3 linked regions of the Lytechinus pictus genome follow. The protein of the gene in region 1 purifies or fractionates together with the protein of each later gene. This does not show direct contact. Links are inferred from orthologs where the notes say so. Each region holds a gene or a part of one and is shown on either strand. Other genes may lie near its edges.

Region 1 (7,126 bases):
TTTCTTCCACAGCAAGGGGCCAGGGAGATCAAGGGAATCATGGGTAATGCACATGCAAGATCAAGTCTCTCAGAATGATACTTGATCCAATATGACCCCATAATAATTAAAAGTCACATGGTGCAGAAATTCAGTACATCAATTTTTTAAAACTTCCTTTTCAAATGACATCTTATAATAATAAAGATCTTTAAACATATAAGTAGTTATATAAGCACCTTTGCTTTTTGAGAGATGACTGGGAGGAGGGGGGGGGGGAGGCTGTATTTGGCATTCTGCCAATCACAATAAATATACTATGAAAATTTGACACAACAAATGGTATTCAATACCCAGGGTTAACAAATAAACCTTCCCCTATCAAAATTCCCCTAAATTGATACATTTACATCTTACATACATGTACATGCAAGTCCATCTTGGCATATCAATAAGTAACAAAGAATGCATTAGTACATACAAATATGTTAGGGAATGTGCTTCATGCATCTTGTTTACTTCAAGGCAAATTACATGTATTTCTTTTTTTTTAATGCTTGGATAGGTTAAAGTGTTTGTGGTGTGTAAATAAATTATTACTATTTTGAGTTGACGTCAAACACTGTCATGTCTTCTTCATCATCATCCTGGTCGAGTGGTCGTAATTCCATGTCTGATGAACGTGTTGCCAGTACCCCATATTTCTTGGACTTTCTCTTTCCTCTTGACCTGTGAAAACACAAATAAAGAGAGTGTGACATATGTATCTGAATTTCTTTTAATTAAAGTGAAGATTCCTTCAAGACAAGAAGCCCGTTCTGAATTAACCAAGGTAACTTTGCCATTCTGGCAACTTTAAGTCTACAATGGCTCGGCCTCAACATACATGTAGCCTCAAAATAAAGGTTTCCTCATTTTAAGTTACCATGAATGTATCTATACATGTAGTTACATGTACCATAGTTGGAAGGCTGTGAAACAGTAGTCTTGAGGACTCCATGATGATGTCTTTTTTAAATACTTTGACTAAACTTCTTCATCATTGGAGTCTTGAACCGCCCTTCATATATGTATAAGAGACACTTTTAAACAAAGATGGATTTCCCTAGGAAATCCAGCTTTTGATATAAAAATCACGTAAATTGTTGTGATTTTATTAATCTCTACACCTTCCTACGCCTAATGCATAGGAAGATTTTAAAAATGGTCAATTGAAATGTTACAAAATGAAGGTTTCTTACCAGACCGATGTCTTGTAGATCCCTCGATCAAAATGTACACAACGCAAATACAATAGGGTCGATCCTTGAACCGCTTATGTATGACGTACATCCAGTAAGCAAAGCCGTTTTGAAGAACAATTTATAGATAAAAATTATTATTTCACAAATACTAAAATTTATTACGTGATTATAAATATTTAGCAGTATTATACTAATTATTTATAATTACGTAATAACTTTTAGCTAACCACTAACCGGATGTATGTCATAGGTCATCACGAAGCGATTCAAGGGTCAGGTCTATGGTCTTTGCTTTGTTGACAAACGGATCGAGGGATCCACGGGAGATCGGGTCTGTAAGAAACGTCTCATTTTTACCATTTATAGTGAAATAATTTTTATCCCTTTATACGCATTAGGCGCCTGAAGGTTCATAGATAAATAAAATTTGACAATACAAACCGATTTCACCCTCTGAAGGAAATCCATCTTTGTGTACATGTGTCTCTTATAGATATACATGTATGGACGGGGATTCAAGACTCCATGATGAAGTAATATATGTCAAAATATGAAAAAAAAACATCATCATGGAGTCCTCAAGTCAAGACTAGCTAACTGCATTCATTCAACAGTTAAGCAGTTCAATGAACAAGGTTATGGCTAACTGGTACATTTTAAGGCCTTGATCTTCCTTTATAGTTTCCCTTCTTCATGTTCTTGGAACCAGCTAAATGTGTTTTATAATTTGAGCCCTTTTCATCTGATTCGAACTTAGAAAACAGATCAATCATGTTTTTTTTTCATTATTTATTTATTTTTTTTATTATTATTTCTTACCTGAACCATCTGACAGCAAAAAACACCATAGCTAATAACGTAAATCCAATCAGCACAAAGAAACTCCTTCTCAGCATGCTTTTGTCATACAAAACATCGCCAAAATCGAATTTTCCATCATGTGACGAAGTTGTGTTTGCGGTCGGTATTTTGGAAGTGCCGAGGTTAGAGCCCGGTGAATGTGGCGTAGCCGTAGGAGTTGTCTTGCCAGCCGGAGGTTGCCCGTCGCCGACGGGATCAGGATCCGCTGCTAATGCCAAGTCCAGCTGCCATCCAAGAAACCCAATCAGGAAATAATGCAGGGAACTATTAAGTTTCGAAAACATTGCGTTGAAGAAAAATAGCATCCTTAGGGAATCAACTGAAATAAATTTGATTCCCATTTTCAGCTCAATATTGTACAAAATCCGATGGTTTAGCTAGATTTTTCACTTTTAGTATCGCAGAGATCCACGTCATATGATCACTAATGAACGCAGGGGGCGCCAACACTCTCCGATTCTAAATAATTGTGATATTGGTTTTTATTTCGATTTTTTTATTTTATTTCACCCTTTGTTATTGAATTTTAAACTGCACCTTCAAGCAATCATTAATAGATGGGCTGATGATGATATGTCCCCACTCTCCACCTTCATTTTTCATATGATATTTCATGAATTCATAATCATCTCATATAGATCTATTCATGCATGTGTGTAAGCTTCCCCGGGTAGCAAAACAAGTTGCACCAATGATTAATAAAATTATACTCAATCCATTCTTTTCATTGTTGGAGGACAAAATTCTAATAAATATAATTTCATAATTATTTTGATTGGATTTGATTATGAAAATAGAAGCTAATAATAATTAGAGTTGTGAAATATATGATTTTGAAAATGATTTCAGTGTATGTGTTACATTTTTTATGTTTCCACTTTGTTTTAGAATTTCTTTTTTTTTTTAATAAAGAAAATAAAAAAAATCCGAATAAAAAAAAAATCTGATTTAAATCAAATAAATCCGATTTTTTTCCAAAAAATAATGAAAAAAAAAAAATCGCCAACCCTGTTGCATATTCATGAAGACGTGCATAGAACTTACTTTTCACCGCCTGTAATTAAAATTCACAACTTGTTCCTTATCCGATTTTGATATAAGTTTCAATGTTTTATTTGTGTGAGTTTAGCTGTTCAGTGGTTCTGCCTGGAGTACCAATTAAGTTTCGATAGAACACGATCTTACTAACCTTATCGGTATGATCACTGGCGTACAGATAGGGGGCACTTGCCCACCCCCCAAAAAAAAGAGAGAGAAAAGGAAAGAAACTGGAAAGAGAGAAGGGTGAAATATATTGCTTTCTAAAAATAATGTCAAAATCTATCACAAAATTTGTAATAAAAATGTCAAAACTTTTACTCGCGGCAACTTTCTATGAATTTTGCCAAACGCAGCTCACCCCCCCCCCCCCCGGCCGGTCCAAAATCTAGTTGAAACCAATAAGCCAGTTCGTAGTTCCATTCTGCGCATGATCAGAGAAAGGTCATTTGTACTAAAGTGGCATGGTGGCCTTAAAATTTAATGAGATAAGCACCAGCTTTGGTGTCTTGATTATTCATATATTCTTTTCAATTGTGTTTTTCATTTGCATCCACAAAGAACAAAAATGCGTCCACGACTGGTATTTGATTTTGATTTATTGTTTTCTTCTGCATCCATAACATTCGTATAATACATTTTTCATAACATAATAAACATAATATGCTAGCATATATTCACTGCAGTTTGCCAAGTACATTGTACAACATGCTATAATATGCATTCAAAGTAGAAATGCAACAAATACCTTCATGGAGTCTTCAATGGTGTGCTATTCTAGTCACCTGGTATAATTCAATTTCTTCATCCTGCTATGTAAGGCATGCATATGTTATATCCTGCTTTGAAATCTGCCTATCATAATGAAATAAATGAAAGGTCATTTGACCAAAATTGTCCCTGATGTAACTACGAACTGGTCTATTAGAGCAAATCCAGTTGAAACCAGTTGGCCAACTGGTTTCAATAGGGAAATTGGAACAACTGGTTCCAATTGAAACCAGTTGCCAATTGATTCCAGTTAAGGCAACTGGAACCAGTTGGCTATTGGTTTCAATTGGTTTCAGTCGAAACCAATTAGGCATTTGCATATCAATTGGTTCCAGTTGTTCAAATTTCCCTATTAAAACCAGTCAATTCCAATTGGAGGCAAAAACCCGATTGGTTTCATCTAGCTGGATCCAATTTGATACCAATGATAAAGGGCATTATTAAAATTTAGGCTTTCACATATACATTTATATTGAGGAGCTTCGAATATAAATATGATATTAGGATTTCCAGTTACATGTACATAACTGGTACCTGTTAGGATTTCCAGTTACCCAACTGGTCATGCTGGTTCCAGTAAGAAGTCATTTCCATGCAGTTGGAAGACATTTCCAGCTATACTCAACTGGTTCCAGTTAGAATTTCCAGTTGCCTGGTTCAAATTGGTTTCAATTGGAAACTGTTATATTCCAGTTAAATTAAACCAATTAAAACCAGTTTGAAATCAAACTGGGCGTTGTGGCGTGCGCCTGTAATCCAAGCTGTGGGGAAGTTACAAATTGATGCAGAGGTTCGAGCCCTGGTCACGTCTTTCGGATGGTGACGTTAAAGGTCGGTCCCAGACGTAAATAATCATATCTGATTGATACACGTCTGACAAAACTCAAATACACACAACTGGCTTCAATTGGATTTTGGTCCTGTGCCCCCATTTTACCAGTCCACTGGGCATGATCTCGTGAAAGGAGTGAGAAACGATAGGGGCAGATCCATGCAGGGTTTTTATTTCCAATAAGGGGGGGGGGGGGGAGCTAGGCCTTGGAGTTCGGGTAGTCCTAAACACTGAAATTGTATAGGCCTAAAGATATTTAGCTTTATTTTTGCAAAACAAATTAAGGTCATAATCATTAATAGTTCATGTGATCGCCGTGTCTGAAGTTTTTTTTTGTAATTTACACCCGAAGACAGAACATTCTAAGCGCCTATGGTGAAGTAGATGTGAAACTAACCAAACAATATTATAACGAGTGTAGAGGGAGGTAAATACTTGATAAATACGGGTTCTGTTGACTTGAATCCTTGATTCTGATTGGCTGTTGAGACTTGTTACCATGGTAGTTAATTGGATGGAAAGTATGTTACCATAATGGTAACTTTCATGCAACGGGCAGCATAGGCAGTGGCGTTTATTAACCAAAAATTTGGAGGGGCTTGATTTGACCTATCACGTAAAATTAATAAAAGTTGCGAGTGTAAAAACACGTTTCGACATTTTCATCTCAAGAATCCAAGTTTGTAATAGATTTTGACATAACATTCAGAAAATAATATCACATTTCACAGTTATCCCTTTACTTTTCTCTTTTTTTCCCTTGGTCGTGATTTATTTTTTATTCATATTTATTTATTATTATTATTTTTTTAAATTTATTTATTCATTTTTTTTTTTTTGGGGGGGGGGGGGGGCGTGGGCTCGCCCAAAGCCCCTCCCTTCCTGACAGTGTGCAACAGGACCCTGATGAAGAAAGCTATAGGGCAGGTATCTCGATCACTCATCAACTTATTGCAATCGCGAAGTGCGATCGGAAATCTTTTAAGTCTAACAGCTATCCTCTAAACCAGCCTTTCTCAATTACTTTTTTTGGAAGCGCCACATTTCTTGTCGAGAATCTGTAATGCTCCACTATCCATTACGCAAACCAGCAATGTATCAGCGGAGGGGGTCCAGAGGCCCCTGGTGGGGGTCGAGGGGGCAGAGCCCCCAGAAGTTTTGGAATATGAGGCCTTTTAAATTGGCCAGAGGGGCTCTAATTAATATCAACAGAAGAAATACAAATGCCAACAAACTGTACAATATTAATATTAAAAGAAAAATGACCAGTGACTTTTTCACAACATACAATATTATACCACTAGTTCAGACTGTTCTGCACCAGATCTATTGGCTGAAGCAAGTGGCGTAATGAATAAAAAAATGAGGGGGCTAGATATGGCAGCTGAAGCAAAAATATTGAACTTTTCAATATAAAAATCTATATTTTGACATAATATTAAGATAATAATACAATATTCCACTCTTTCCCTTTCCTTTTCTCCTTTTTTTTTTAAAATCTCGGCCGTGAAACATTTGGCCCCCCAATCCCCACCCCCATCTGTACGCCAGTGGCTGAAGTTACATACCCCGATTTGCAAGGGCTGAAAATTAGGCGTTGCACTGCACTAGCGCTCCAAACTGCCCCTTTCTCTTTACAACTCACGTGCAGTATCATCCATGTGCATGCAGGCAAGCTCGGCAGGCAATACATCTGAGCATAGTATTTCACTTTTACAACTTCAGATTTTAATCGGCTCCGGAAACAAAGTTTCTGCTTGTTATGTCTCAAATTCATAATTTTTTTATGATCAGGATGTTCTTTGAATATCACATTATTTGATGTTTAACTCTTAACCAAAACGTATACTCTAGCTGGAAATGCAAAATTTCTCGCCGTTGAAATAGAAATCCTACAAACGGGGTTTTCAAATCACTTGTGTGGCACATAAACTTTGTACAGCATAGAATGAATAAAAGGGAGAACACCATCGATCCTCTATAATGGGGGTTATCGAGTGCTAAATTGGGAAAAAATGAGGAAATAAATTAGCAATTAAGTGTCAAGTAAAGAGTTTTTGTTTTTTCTTTGTATTAAAATGATCACCAAATCCTTATTTCCAGGTAATTACTGGTAGATACATTTTTTCTCCCCAATGTTTCCTTATTTTTACTTGTTTTAAATACCAGCTCCCAAGCGCCACCCCGCAAGGCTCGGTGCGCCACAAGTGGCGCGCGCGCCACCATTTGAGAATCCCTGCTCTAAACCTTTTTATTTTATAATGAATAGAACTTTATTTCTGCCTGGCCCATTTGAAATTTCTAGTAAACTTCCCGGTAAACTTAGATATCAAATAAAAAAGCAGATATTTAACTTTAAAACACGATATGATTTGTTTTGGAAACTCAGATACCACCCGCC
Region 2 (7,673 bases), on another chromosome or scaffold:
CCAGGGAGCTCCGGCCCGCGAAGCGTGCCGGAGCCCAGGAGTCCACCGTGCACTTAGACATAGACACAGGACTGGGGTAGATTGGGGTCTCAATAACTTACTTTTAAAAAATGTGAAAACAGAAATTATGCACTTACATGTACCACGATTATATGGATGAAGGTATATCGTGTGACAGCATCCTGACATCGAGGCAGACTGGAACCTCACAAAAAACCGAAAAGATCTGTCGCGATACCTCTCCTTCTACCCCAGTCTCGATCTGCCATTTTGTTATGAATTTTGAAAGGAGAGGTACATCGCGACAGAACTTTTCGTTTTTTTGAGGTTCCAGTCTGTGCCTCGATGTCAGAATGCTGTCACACGATTGACCTTCATCCTTATAATCATGGTAAGTGCATAATTTCTGTTTTCACATTTTAAAAAGTTATTGAGACCCCAATCTACCCACTCCTAGTACCAATGAGGTCCAAACATTACATGTATGGACCTCATAGGCGACAATGCGTTAAAAACAGGTTAGAAGTAGAACCGTTACTGTTTCCTGCACCCAAGTATGATATTACTCCCTAAATACGATTTTTTTTTCTCGTTTGTTTATCATTTATTAAAAGATTGCCCATTAAATATCATATTATTTCTACTTAAGATTTAATAAAATAAAGGGAAACTTACATTGAGTCCTTTTTCGATCTTTTCTTGGCAGTCAGTGCGGTCACCGTCGAGTGCGATCAAAGCGGTATGAAGCTGATTTTCAGATCACGTGATACGTGTAGTCATCACCTGATCTATCGACTATCCTTTTTTAAAGACCGCAACAATTATAAATTTTATTATAAAATATATATAGAATAAATAATTGCATGATAATATATATATCTCTACAATTAAAAATATTTTGTGATATAAATTTAATATTTGACGTAAAAATCGCTATTTAACAAAATATTTATTAAAAAGTAAAAAATAAAACAAAATAAAAACGCCTTGGACACAGTGCAAAAAACCTAACGATTTTGCCGCGTTGTTAACAACTATCGTAAGGGGCGCTCTATTTATAAATAAAAAAGAATGTACAGCTGTCTACCGCGACGTAGTTTGTCGCAAGATTTGGGACAAATCCTTGCGAATTCTGGAGAAAATACATCAAAAGAACTGGTGAGTACCGTTTAAACATTATCAAATTACTAAATAGATTATACATACCTTGTAGATTTAGTTTTTAAGGTGATATTAGTGCTTAGTTCTAAGCTAGGGAGGCCCAAACGCGCGTGAGCGGAGTCTAGTCTTGAGGACGCAATGATGATGATTTTTAAAATAATGAAATATACTTCTTCATCATTGACGTCTTGACACTCTTCCCCCAGTCGCATAAGAGAAGGACCATAATAAAGATGGATTTCCCTCGGAAATCCATCTTTAGAAACAAAAATCACTTTAATTGTATTGATTTCATTAATTTTCACACCTTCCTACGCCTAATGCGTAGGAAGGTTTTAAAAATTATAACATGAAAGTGTGAAAAATTTAAGGTTTCTTACCTAACTGATGCTGAGTAAACCCCTCGATCCACATGTAAACAACGTAAGTACAATAGCGTCGACCCTTGAACCGCTTATGTATGACGTACTTCCGGCTAGCGATGCCGTTCTGATGAATAATTTATAGAAAAAAAATATTATTTCGCAAATGTTAAAATGTATCACGTAAATTAAAAATAATTGTCAGTTTCATACCAATTATTTTTATTTACGTGATAAATTTTAACATTTGCGAAATAATTTTTTTTTCTATAAATTATTCATCAGAACGGCATCGCTAGCCGGAAGTACGTCATACATAAGCGGTTCAAGGGTCGACGCTATTGTACTTACGTTGTTTACATGTGGATCGAGGGGTTTACTCAGCATCAGTTAGGTAAGAAACCTTAAATTTTTCACACTTTCATGTTATAATTTTTAAAACCTTCCTACGCATTAGGCGTAGGAAGGTGTGAAAATTAATGAAATCAATACAATTAAAGTGATTTTTGTTTCTAAAGATGGATTTCCGAGGGAAATCCATCTTTATTATGGTCCTTCTCTTATGCGACTGGGGGAAGAGTGTCAAGACGTCAATGATGAAGAAGTATATTTCATTATTTTAAAAATCATCATCATTGCGTCCTCAAGACTAAGCGGAGTCCCACTTTATTAACACGGGTAAGTATTGCGGTGTCGCCTAGAGTGCCCTAGTCCTGTGTCTATGTCTAAATGTCGGTGGACTCCTGGGATCCGGCCCGCAAAGCGGGCCGGAGCTCCCTGGGCTACCTTGCCCCTTGTAATACTAGTTTACTTACCCAGTTGCCAATTTGAAATCTACATACTATTAGTGATCTCAATTTTAATTAAAGCAGCTATAACTTTCTTATTGCTTGTCGGATTTCTTTCAAACTTTCACTATTCTGTTTAGTTCATTTTTCTCCTTCCCAACACATTTTATGGCCAAGGCTGGATTCCCCTTTCACAGTTGGATAATGAAAAAAAATAAAAAATTATCAAACCAGTCTCTGTTCACGCATCACGTTCCATCGTTTGTTATACTACATTGGCTACACTCACCTAGTACTGGGGATGACACTGAAAATGTCAGAAACTGATAAATAAATCCCAAGAAAATGCCATTATTTCTGTCTACCAACAAGGCAAATCAATGGCAATGCACTAACTCACATTACGCAGATTTTTGTACGTGGGACTACATCCCTCAAATTTCTCACCTTTCCACTCGTAAAGACGAACACCAGTGCAGCTCCAGCGGCTGTTAACCCCCATGTAAACAAAGTACCAAATAAAGACTGAGTAACTGGATCATAACCTTGCAACATTTTGATGAATTTTTAATTGAGATCAAGAAAAGAAAGTGAATTCCGAATTTGGGAACAAGAGAGCTGGCGGATCTGCCCGCAGGACTGCAGCATATCAGAACTAGCAAGCATGATCCGCTAGCGCGGGGCTAGGCTAGCTGGGCGGCTCCGGCTGCATAAAGTGGGCGGGGAGCTAGCTAGCCGCGTGGCGCTGATATGTAAACACCAACACTGATGCTCCTCTTGATCTTCCGATCTCTGGTAGCAGCAGAATCCTATGGTAAAGCGCCACGTATAAATGATAACTCGTCAGCTGGTATGGACCGTGCAAAAAAAGAGCCACGGCGATAAACTATATAGAATCCAATGTTTGTACATCATGATTTTTTAGACAAAAGTAATCGGATATCATGGGGGACTGCATGGTTGACTAGATATCCATCTAAAATATCTCCCACAATTGGTAAGAACCAAGAAGATAAACAAAGATAAAGCCCCCCCCTCCGCATCCCCCATGCAAAGATAAGACTGAGAAAAATATAAGAGCAAAAATAAATGAAGGGTGATTCAAACGAAATGCAATTATGTTATTGGGAACTATATTATATAAAACTAGATATCCACTTATTAAAGAAAGCCCTAACCCAAGGCCCCCCCCCCCAAAAAAAAAAAAAAAAAAAAAAAAGCACCGGCCCTGCCTCATGCAATAAAAAGAAAAGAGCAACAAATAAGAACAAAAATAATCAAATGGTGATTGGGAGGAGGGGGAGTGGGTATAAAAATGGACCTACTATATATAGGTCCATCAGGTATAAAATAGGTCTAAGGGTCAGAACGTTGGAGTTTTCACATTAAGCCTATATCGTCATCATCGACATTGTTATCTCCATCCATCATCCGAAGAGCATCATCATCATCACCTTCATCATTATCACCATCATCATCAGCAGCAGCATCATCATCATCATCTAGCATCATCATCATCCTCATCATTTTTATCATCCGATAATCATAATTACCATCATATCATCATTACATCATCATTATCGTCACCGTTATCATCATCATCATCATCATCATCATTATCATCATCATTATCATCATCATCATCATCTTGATGACTTGATTTATGATGAAAACATTCCAGTTGGATGGATTTCTTCTTCTTCCTGTCTCTCCCTTTTTTCTTTTTTCCCCTCTTCCTCTTTCCTTTTTTTTCTTCCGCTTCATCTCTCTCATTTTCTTCTCTTCCTTAATTCCCCTTCTTCCCCTCTCTCTTTTTTATTATTTTCCTCTCTAACTGAAAGGAACTAGGAGGAGGAAAAGAGGGGTAGGGCCAACATACGTTCTTGGCTCTGGCTCCCGACCCATACAGACTTAAAGTGGGAGTTCACCCTGAAAAACATTTTATTTATTGTAAAAATGCAGAAAAAATAACAATATTGCCGAAGTTTTGAGAAAAATCAATCAAAGAATACAAATGTTATTAGAATTGTATTAATTGATTTGACGTCATATGCGAGCAGCTTTCCAACACAATTATGGTAAACAAAAATCAATGAAATGTCATTTTCTCAGTAAATTAATTGTGTATATCAATAGACGAATCATTTCACACCCTTTCCTTAAAAAGAAAGCAAATGAGTCATCACGAACCATTAAACATTATATGTTACATTGCATAGGCCTAACATACGAGGCAGCTACTCGTTTATGATGTCACAAATGCAAAACATACAATTTTAATAACTTTCTTAATCTTGACATAAAAATACTTTTTTTTTTTTGGGGGGGGGGGCAAGCAATAGATGAAGGTCTCAAGCAAGGCCCTCCTTGTTATGGAGACCAGTGAGGGTCAGAACTGAGGGTATGAGACAACATATTTTTGAGGGAGCTCATTTTTATACAGTGATCTGTGTGGAGAAGAATGTGAGAGAGTGAAGCAAGCCCAGTTTTGGTAACTTAAACTTTTTAATACATGTAGATTTGGCGCGTAAAAAGGTCAAATCTGCCAGATAATGGATTGACTTTGGTGAAAAATGAAGTACAATTTTTTATGGGGCAGTAAATTCTCCCCCATCTGAAATATGCTGGGCACAAATTTGGACCATGTAGGCCTATTTAGCAGGTGTTGGTCAAATGTGAAGTCGGACATTACTTCACAGGGGCCGCGGAACTGTTTTCAAAGTGGGGGGGCTGAGCCAAAAGTGGGGGGGCTGACCATGCTAAAAATCACAATCATATGGTCATTTTTAAGTTTTTGTACACGGTTTTAAAAAAAGTGGGGGGGCTGAAGCCCCCCAGCCCCCCCCCCCCCCCCCGGTTCCGCGGCCCCTGCTTCAGTGGGGGGAATATTCGCTTGTTCGAGCATTTGAGTGAGCGAATATGCAACAGGCCTTGTCTGATCGAAGCGCTCACAAACAAAACTTGAATAGCGCCATCTGTAGATTAAAAACAACACATGCACACGTCATTCTATTGCGATTGCAGCTGCGGAGCCAACGAGAATAGAGACTCGAGTACCCCGAATCTCCCCGACACTGGAACCTCAGACTCCCACCGGCGCGGCTCGCATAATTTGACTTCTGCTGCTGCGCCATGATCGAAGAACCTCTGTGTCGGCGCCTCACTCTTTCGAAAATCTGGAATCAAGGAGACTGGCTTCGTTGTACAACTAACTACTGCAGCATCCATTGCTGACTTGGCCTGGCCTGGCCTTGGCTTTATTATAGCCATATTGAATGGGATTCAGTCATGCCTTTTGAGATGGAAGATTTGATCGAGGACGGTGTTGCAGATGGATGGTATGAAAATGGTGAGAAAAACAAATCACTCGACGTCGACTTTAGTCTATAAATATCACCATTCTGATTCAGTTAGTAGTAAGCTTACTGATGTTCATGACATTAGTTTTTTTTTCCTGTAGTCATCAAGTGAACTGTATACCCAGTTGTTGTGTGTTCGGACAGGTTGTGTGTCCGGACGATTATAGTTTTTTTAGAAAGTCATTTGGAAAAAATTACAAGCGAAGTTTAAAGGTAAATTCCAGTTCTGGTAAATTTACTAATGTAGGCTTACTCTAAACGAAGCCAGGGAGTCCTCCCTATTCATCTGCTGCATGTACCGCAAAAAACCCTGAAACTTTCCCCCCCGAGATTTCTACTTTCCTTCTAAAACTAGATCTAGCTCTAAATCATGTATGATGGGGTGTCCAAACTTCGCGCACTTTTCAAAAATATTCATCAGGCTTAAATTTTCTAACAAAATATTCATAATTTATACAAAACCAATTCAAGAAATAGTTACCACATTGACAGCAAGATCGTAAACTATAAAATCATGGACGAAAATGTAAAGTAGGTCAAGGGGATTCGCCGGTATATCGCGATCTCAAAATTCTATTCCGATCGGCGAATGCGCGCTGTGCTGGAAAACCATTCAGAAAAAGTGTGACCTAACTTCGCGGACCAAAGTTTTTGTGGACATTTAAACAAAAACTCAAGCCCAAAAAGTGAAATATTTATATCAGATTGATGGCAAAATGCTATAGAATCGGTTAGTACCACATTTAACTTACATTTTAGATGATTTCTGCTTGCAAAATGGTGATATCGTGATGCTTGTTGAGAATATCAGATTTCTTCAAAACGGGCGCTAACGGTGACAAATTTGCCGATCTTTTGCCAATATTTTCATGAATACTGAACTCATCCTAAAGAAACTTACACCAAAGGGTAATTTTAGGTCGCTTTTCATGTTGATGATGTCAGATTTTAAGGATATTTGCTAGTTTTTTAGATAATGACCGTCTGCGAAGTATGGACACGCGCGAAGTTTGGACTCACTGCCATACATGGGATAAAGAGTCATACTTAACCTTGGTTTTACAGACTTTCTCACGAAATTAGTGTTTTACTGCAACTACTTTCATTTAGCTTTAATCAATTTTTAGTACAAAATGTTAGGAAATATAAAAAACAAAATAGAAGATGATTACAAGTATTGAATTCATATTTTTAGTGTAATCCAAAGACATAAAAGAAGGCTTGAAAAGATCAACTGTCCGGACACCCGACCCCCCATCCTACTGGGATCTTTGGAAAGACTTCCATATGCCCCCTCCACTCCATTGCTTTGCACTGTCTGTGTAATTAAAAAAAATTCTACGACAAAAGCAATAAACACCTCTTAATACCTTTGTTCTATTTTTCTTCTTCTTGAAGGCCGAAGGGGGCCCCCCATGTCTATGCACCTAAAAAAATTAGCTTAAGATTAAACATGAATGTCTCTTTATTCAGGTTTATTCCACACAAATATCAGTTGATAATGTTCCTTATAAAATTATGATATCAATTATAAAGCTATAAAGTGTGCCAAAAATCTTATTGAATTTCAGACTGAGACTTGAGAAATAGAAAAGTCTAGACTAGGCATTATTGTGAAATTGGGATTAACTGTTCACTTCGTACAGAAGCGTTTTATTCAGTCATACGCATTGGTTCCCCATTTCCACCTACATTCACTTTGTACACAAGTGTGTGCGTACAAATATGGACGAGTGCACTCCTGAAATTCAATATTTCTCTCCATTTTGAGTCAGATTATACTTGCTTAATCTCTCTTATTTGTATTTTTTTTTTAATTTAAGTGGAGGGGACAGAAGTCTTTCCTTAAACATCTTTTCTAAGCTACTATAAAACTTAAAAGTAAATGTGAAGCCAAGAAGTGCATACTGGTACCTTACAAATGTTATTACCTTAAAGGTCAAGTCCACCCCAGGAAAATACTGACTTGAATAAATGGAGAAAAATCAAACAAGCATAGACCT
Region 3 (7,603 bases), on another chromosome or scaffold:
TGCGTTAATGCAATATGATCTGCTGAGGACAAGACTCAAATCATAAACTGTAACAAAACTAAGCTTTCTTATCCTGAATATTTTTTAATGGGAACTAAAGATGGCCATATACAATATCTACAGTCATCAACAAATTGATTACAACTGTGTTCAGTCAATGGTCATACATGTACCTTCTGGTTCAACGCTCTTTTTATCTTTTTCAGCCTCTTCTTGCTTCCCAGCTATCCTGCGTCGTACTTGCGAAGAACTTCCATTGGTTTCTTCCTCCCGTGCTGGTCCTTCATCCTCAATTTGTGCTTTCTTTGGTTTCCCCTGGCTGTGGGAATGGGCCCCATCACCCTTCACAAGGCGAACAAACTTCTCCACCAGCAGAAATAAGAGAATTCCAACTAACACCCAGAAGCCTGTTGCAAAACAAATCAAGAAATTGCCTCAATCTAACATATTCATGAAGCTAAATTGCATTCATATTGGGTTGATAATTTTGCAGATCAAGTTGATCACAAGTGAACCCATATCTTCTGAAATAGATAGAAACAAAATTAATTCAACAAGGAGAAAATAATCTTGTCGGATGTCCGAATAACAAGTGGAGAATAACTTTTTAAGTGCTTTGATCATGAAGTATTTAAAAATGTATTCATAGACAGGCATGGAAACTAATCAAGAAATTAATTAATGCAGGGCTCGACGTCAGCGGTGGCCCGGGGCAATCTAAATTGAGAGTTGGGCCACCAAATTTCTGTAAAAGCTTACACTTGGTGGCCTGGTCGGGCTACCAAAGTTATGACAAATTGTAATGTTTTCTATTGTTTTAGGACCACCAAATTTGCTTTGCGGGCCACCAAAAATATAAAATTGATGATTTTGGTGGACCGATCGGGCCACCGAGCAAAACAGCTAGTGTGGAGCCTTGATTAATGTCATAAAAACTACCAAAACATTTATACAAATTTATAACAAGGGTGGCATTTGATTGTTTTTCACATAGGCCCTAATGGATTTCTGATGACAGAAATGGACTTGTACAAAGAACACTCACTTCACTGCAGTTTAGTTATATGGAAATAAAATCATGAAAATGCCTGTATACCCAGTTGTTGTGTGTCTGGACAATCAATTTCAAACAGCCATTTGGAAAAATAACAAGCAAAGTTTATCATTTTTAGTACAGAATGTTAGACAGTATAGAGAACAAAATAGATGATTACAAGTTACAACTATTGAATTTATATTTTTTTTTTGTAAATCCAAAGACAAAAAGGCTTCAAAATTATAAAGTGTCTGGACACCCAATCCCCAACCTACATTCTACTAGTAGTAGTACTACAATCAATTTGAACTTTTTGAAATAATGATACACCAGTACCAGGCAGTGGTGGCCTTGTGCATTTAAGGTTAACTGCCAATTAAACGGTTTGCTCAAAAACAAAAGCCAATGAAGGAAGCCATATTTTGAGTTACCTATATGATTATGTAACATGAGTCAGGACCCAGTCCCAGAACAGAAAAATTGATAAGAAATGAATGGTTGACCCTCTAACAACATTAGAATAGAATCGTTTTTGTACATCTGTGTGGTCATTGTTCATAAAAGGTTGAGTGTTACATACAATATCTCTATCCATGCTACCTCGAGCGAAGTTCGTGCAGGCTCCACTCCACTTACTTCACTACCGCTACACTACGCTCCACCTACCCAAACTTTGAGACCATGAATTCAATCAGAAATTCCGAGTGACAAAAGGTGGGATTTTATGGGGAGGAAATGTAAAATTCATGCAACATCACAATCTTTAAAAATAAGTACAACTAATATTCTTACTTTACACAAAGTTTCACTTCTTTTCCATGCTTCTATCAGTCTCAAAATTGATGATTTAGAGCCAACATGAAGTTCCTCACACGTATAAGTAATTCGCTGCCGATTTTAAAACATCTCACACGCGAGGTAACGGGTCCGGTCCGAGCTCGGTACCTCGCGCATGCAATGTTTTGAAATCGGCAGCACATTAATATTTATACGTGTGAGGAACTTCATGTTGGCTCTAAATCGCCAAAACTTGAGACTGATAGAAGCATGGAAAAGTGAAACTTTGTGTAAAGTAAGAATATTAATTGTAACTTGTACTTATTTTTAAAGATCGTGATGTCGCATTAATTTTATATTTTCCCACCATAAAATCCCACATTTTGTCACATGGAATTTCTGATCGAATTCATGGTCTCAAAGTTCGGGTAGGTGGAGCATAGTGTAGCGGTAGTCATGGTATTGAAGTGGAGCCTGCACAAACTTCGCTCGAGGTATATCCATTGCATTTAATTGTTTCGATATCAAAACTTTTGCTAAGTATAATACTAGGAATTAGATAAACCCTGTAATCTGTATTGACAGATCCAACGTTAAATATAGTCAGACCTAAGTACACTATTCTGGATTCGTGGAACTTTATCTAGATTCATAAACATTATTTTGAAGTTAGAGGAGTATATCTAGTTTAAGCTTGAATTTACCAACAAGCATTGGTCCAGAGTGGTCATGATCATGACCATGGCTATGGCCGTGATCATGACTGTGCTCATGTCCGTGATCGTGCCCGTGATCATGTCCATGATCGCCATGACTGTGCGGAGAAAGCGAATGCGGGATCAAATGCAGAAACGCGTCACCAAGCAATCCACCGGATGCGAAGCTGAGCAGCACTTTCAACAGCGACTCCTGTCCCTCGCGCCCCTTGTCCAGCGGGATGAGAAAAAGGATCACGAACGGTGCTGCAGAGATCAAAACTGTGGCACCTATTGCATCTGTCCAGACATTTCCCTCATAAGATTTTGCTCCAGCTGCTTCAGCGTGGGAATGCTCATGGCTGTGTCCACTTTCTGTTTCATGATGACCATGGGCGTTGTTGTAAACGGCGAGAATTAACAACAATAAGCAGACGATGGGCATTCGCGTTCTTCGCACGGAGGCTGCCATGTTTCAACAATAGAGAATTATACGTGGCTTATCAACGATCGCAACCTCGTCTCCAGTCGTCATGTACCGTACGGTAACAATGAAACGAAATATTAAAGGGAGGAGGGGTTGTGGGGAGGGTCTTGGGAGGGGATCATTATTGATTCGCTGACTTAATGGCCCGTATTCTGAAGTCAGGTTTAAGTTAAACTCAGGTTCAAAGTTGTGGTTTAAGTATGGACAGCCAAAAGTATCAATTTTTTTTATTAAGTTGTACGTTTCTTATGTTTGCTGTGCTCTTTCCGGATTCATCGATGGTGAAGACAATAATCTATATAGACAATAATGAATGATTTGAGAGCCAAATGAGCTGAAATATTATATCCCTTCTGTTAGTGATTTATGTAACAATTGGCTATCCATACTTAAACCACCACTTTAAACCTGAGTTTAAGTTAAACCCGACTTCAGAATACGGGCCAGTGTATTTGATTTTTCTTAATTCACCAGAAACAATGATATTTTTTTTTGAAGTCAAAATAAAAAATATCATTGTTTCTGAGTGAATTAAGAAAGGGTAATATGTATTCATATAATAAACAATAAAAGCGACCTAGGAAGTGAGTGCAATCCCAAGGGCCCGGGGGGCACTCAGTATATGATGCATAGTGGGTATGTGCCGCGGAGGGCCGGGACCCCCATTTTTACACTCAAATTTCCGTTCCAAGGCATAGCATTTTTGTCTTATTGAGAAAAAAGAAGAAAGAAATCCGCTCCAAAGCTTCGCATATTTTTCGTTACGCTGTTCCGATAGCATTGATCTGCTAGCTACAATGAGCTGCAATTTTGGTGAAAAGCGGCCGCAGAGCGCTGTCCGACCATCGCCTCAGCTCTGCGCGAGCGCACCCGGCGGAGGCCGCGCTAGCTGCATCATGCACGCATGACCGTTCCATAGGGAGGCATACGCACTCACACGCTGGCGATCCGTTCCAAGGACCCCCGTTTTCACAAACATTTGTAGTTCCAAAGGCCGTTCCGAGGACCCTCCTGTTTACAATAAGCCCGCTCCAAGGCCCCCGTTTTTTTTGTCTCGCCCGCGGCACATCCCCACCACTTTTTTGGTCGAGTGCCCCCCTCTGGGCCCAAGGGGCGCGCGCCAAAAGTCATATTTCCGAATCAAGTACGGTTCCCCACCTGACAGAGTTCAGAGCTGGACCTAGTTGGGCCCCATCTTACAAAGAATTACGATTGATCCAATCAATCGTAACTCTATATGGAAATTTCACCATTAGGGTCATATTTTTTTCTACATGAAATTCACAATATTTCTTTTGTAAACAAAGCTAGGAAAACACACCAATTCGTCAAGAAATCAGTGAATCAATGGATATACATTCATATCCAGACAATTTTTTGAACAAATATTCATTTCATATGTTGACCTTGCTGCACGTACTGTAAAAAAAAAACATTGAATCAGTAGTTAACACTTAATGTATTTAAGTAGAATTTACAATTTGTAATTATTTTTCGTTGTTTTTAAGTAGTTTCAACTTGTCTTTTAATTTACTTGATTTACTTGATTTATTTGGTTTCAATATACATTTAAGAAAATTCACGTATTGATAGCTTGCTTTGATTGAGTAAATCTAACTCAATTAGGCAAAGATGATTATTACTTATAAAATCATGTTGAATGTACTTATATTTTCAATTAACGCCATATTTAAATAATGCATGAATATTCATTAGAGCAAGTAAATGTGTTTTTTTTTTAATAACTGTCATTTCTATTTGTGTTTGAAATTGTTTTGGATAAGGGTGTGCTAACTATTGTATTCTTTTGTTGAATCAAAGAAAAGGCAACATTAAATAGTCATTTAGCAGAAAATTATTCTCACTGTTTTATTTGTAAGAATGAAACGATCGCGTACTAACTATCAATGTCAGTACCTATACATGTACAGGTAAGTGACAATTCACAAAGTCTAATTGGATAAAACATGTATAAAATGAAAATGATGCCACCAAAAGTGGGACGATGGGGGAGCGGACTTTCGAATCACGAAAGTCCATCCACTCCCCCATTTGATATTTTCAAATATTTTAGTGATTGTTTTACTTAATTGAATTAAGTTATTGTAACTTAATTTTCTTGAGTAAAATGGAAGCAAAGAAAATAAGTAAATTTTACTTAAAACTGCCAAAGTCATAAATACTTGAAAAAATTAAGGCAATTTTTTGCCACAATTTTATTAAGTAATTTCTACTAATTTTTTTTTACAGTGTGGCTGTCCATAGTTACGATTGATCGGATCAATCGACACTCTCTGTACAAGACGCCCCTATTGTGTCAAGAGACATAGACCCCATAACAAAAAAAAGAGGTTTGATATAAGCTGGCCATAAGCTGACAATATAGCTCTTATAAATAATTAGTACGTAGTCTGTTATTTAATAATGTTTGAAAAGATAAAACGAGAAAATGAGGCCTGTATTGGCCTATATATAGGCCTAGGCCTATTTCGTAACTGAAATTTCATCAAAATCGAATGAAAAAAATAATAAAGTTAAGGTACTTCAAAGTTTCATTTATTTTCATAAAACGGTCCGTACTGTAACACAGGCGATAAAGCAACCAATTGTATCATTTCTTTTGTAGGCATAATATAGGCCGGCTATACTATTGTAAAACCATGCAGGGAGTTGGGAGGTGAATGACTCCGGCATGCATCTATAAACGCTTAAGCCCCCCCCCCCCCCAAAAAAAAATAATAATAATAATAAATAAAAGATACAACCAAGATGGAAATAAGAAAAAAAAAAAAAAAAAGAAAGAAAATGAAAGGAATAGAGGTGAATTATGATATTACTTTTCTATATGTCTAAATTTATCATGTACAATAATAATGTTGCCCATATACGCCATGTCTGGCATTCTCAGAATTTTTGGAGCGTTACACTGCGACCTTTATCTGAAAGATTGTTGATTACATGTACTACGAAATCATTTTTTCCTATAGTGTTTGACACCATTCATTTTTATAGAGCTATACCACCCGTAATGTGTTTGTTTTGTGAAATCATATTATAGATCAACACATATTGATATCATCCGTTGTTTTTCATGATGAAATAAAGCGCAGCTTTGTCATGCTTATTTTACCTACTATTTTGTGAAAATGTTGTTTCAATTCAAATCAAACTATATTGTTGGGGTGCATTGACCTAAATTGGTTGATCGAGTGACTAGTACTTTTTAATGAACAAAATAACTATCAAAACATAGCAAACTTGTGTGATAAGAGAGCATTTGTGCATTTGTGGATCCGCATGCAGATAGAGGCACAGCCACAGAAAAATGTCGTAGATACACAACTGACGACATTTTCCCTCGATCTATTTTTTTACTTGCTTGCTTGTTAAATTTGTTGTGACATATAATTATAAATCGTCCTTCATTAAGAAGTGAAAACTTTCTCCTTTTTTATTGGGGGGGGGGGGGAGTTGTCAAATTTAACAAAAATGAACAAAATGTCCCGTTATACCGTGACACCACAGGGGTGCTGGGGCGACTGCTTAGAATTTTCAATTAGTGGAAATATAACAAAGGAGAAAGGGAAGAAAGAGGGAGAAAGGGAAAGAAAGCATCTACACGAGGCCTACGTATAAATAAATAGAACTGTTTCCTATCATATTCAGATTTTTTAACAAAAAAAGATATTCATGCATGACAACCCAAAGGCTTTCCAGATGCTTGCCATGCATAGCAACGGATAGTATGCAAATAATTCCGAGTATTGTCGGCTATTCTTTCCTGGCAGATTGAATGTGATGTCTCGTTAAGGTTCCTGGAAAAATCTGTGAACTTGACCATTATTTGCAAAGTAGGCCTATTATGCAGTCGATATTACTGAAAAGAACTTCGATCCAGCATTTGAACAGAAGATTTTCAGTCGTGGTCGAAGTAATTAAACCAATATAACTGGATGAGGTAATCACCAATCATTATATGTTTTATTTCATGTAAGAATGTATTTAAAATCATGCATTGATTATTATAGAGGTTGTTAGAACATGCGCGGTTGCAAATTATATAGGAGCAAATAAGGGGGCAATTATAATAACATGTGCAACTATAAGTGGGGGTGAGGCAAAGAGAAAAGGAAAGGGGAAGGGGGTTGAAGAAAAGGCGGAAAGCGATTAAGGGGTATGTATTAAACTACGTTTATTTTTTTTTTGTCTTTTGTCATGATGATTGACTGATTTTTAGCCCGATATACTTTCAAAATCTTAGCCATTTTCCCACGGGGTCGATCAGTTCCGGTCTTCCCTTCCACCCCCCCCCCCCCCCAGTATAGGATCTAGCTTTTGCTAATAGTTTGACCAAGTATTTGACTAGAAAAATGAAACAGTCATAATACATAACCCCAAAATGATTGCATTTTGGGTTACGCCTCTGCATCCTACCCCTCTTTCGCGTAGATTACATCCGACATGCACCCCTCCCTTTTCCTCTTTTTTTCTAGGGAGCTCAAACGTATATAAAAACGCCCCCTTCGTTCAGTCACTGCTTCGTTAGTCAGAGCTGCTTGTTGGACTTTGTTTTTGGGTATTTCCAATGACATGAATGCGGTGATTAAT

Evidence for each region.
Region 2: the proteins of membrane protein FAM174A-like (region 1) and zinc transporter ZIP11-like purify together in Homo sapiens (co-immunoprecipitation; 3 studies listed by BioGRID and IntAct, counting the BioPlex papers as one, with this or other methods). This does not show direct contact. The link is inferred for Lytechinus pictus from reciprocal best matches to the Homo sapiens genes FAM174A and SLC39A11.
Region 3: the proteins of membrane protein FAM174A-like (region 1) and protein catecholamines up-like purify together in Homo sapiens (co-immunoprecipitation; 3 studies listed by BioGRID and IntAct, with this or other methods). This does not show direct contact. The link is inferred for Lytechinus pictus from reciprocal best matches to the Homo sapiens genes FAM174A and SLC39A7.

Annotation. Positions count from the first base shown.
Region 1 is NC_087249.1:17,117,645-17,124,770, forward strand, and holds membrane protein FAM174A-like, read right to left. Parts: upstream 2,369-7,126; coding exon 2,043-2,368; intron 709-2,042; coding exon 579-708; downstream 1-578.
Region 2 is NC_087254.1:12,733,430-12,741,102, forward strand, and holds the start of zinc transporter ZIP11-like, read right to left. Parts: upstream 3,106-7,673; 5' UTR 2,867-3,105; coding exon 2,759-2,866; intron 1-2,758. UniProt on the Homo sapiens protein: Zinc importer that regulates cytosolic zinc concentrations either via zinc influx from the extracellular compartment or efflux from intracellular organelles such as Golgi apparatus. May transport copper ions as well.
Region 3 is NC_087259.1:18,778,343-18,785,945, forward strand, and holds the start of protein catecholamines up-like, read right to left. Parts: upstream 3,062-7,603; 5' UTR 2,981-3,061; coding exon 2,518-2,980; intron 408-2,517; coding exon 174-407; intron 1-173. UniProt on the Homo sapiens protein: Transports Zn(2+) from the endoplasmic reticulum (ER)/Golgi apparatus to the cytosol, playing an essential role in the regulation of cytosolic zinc levels.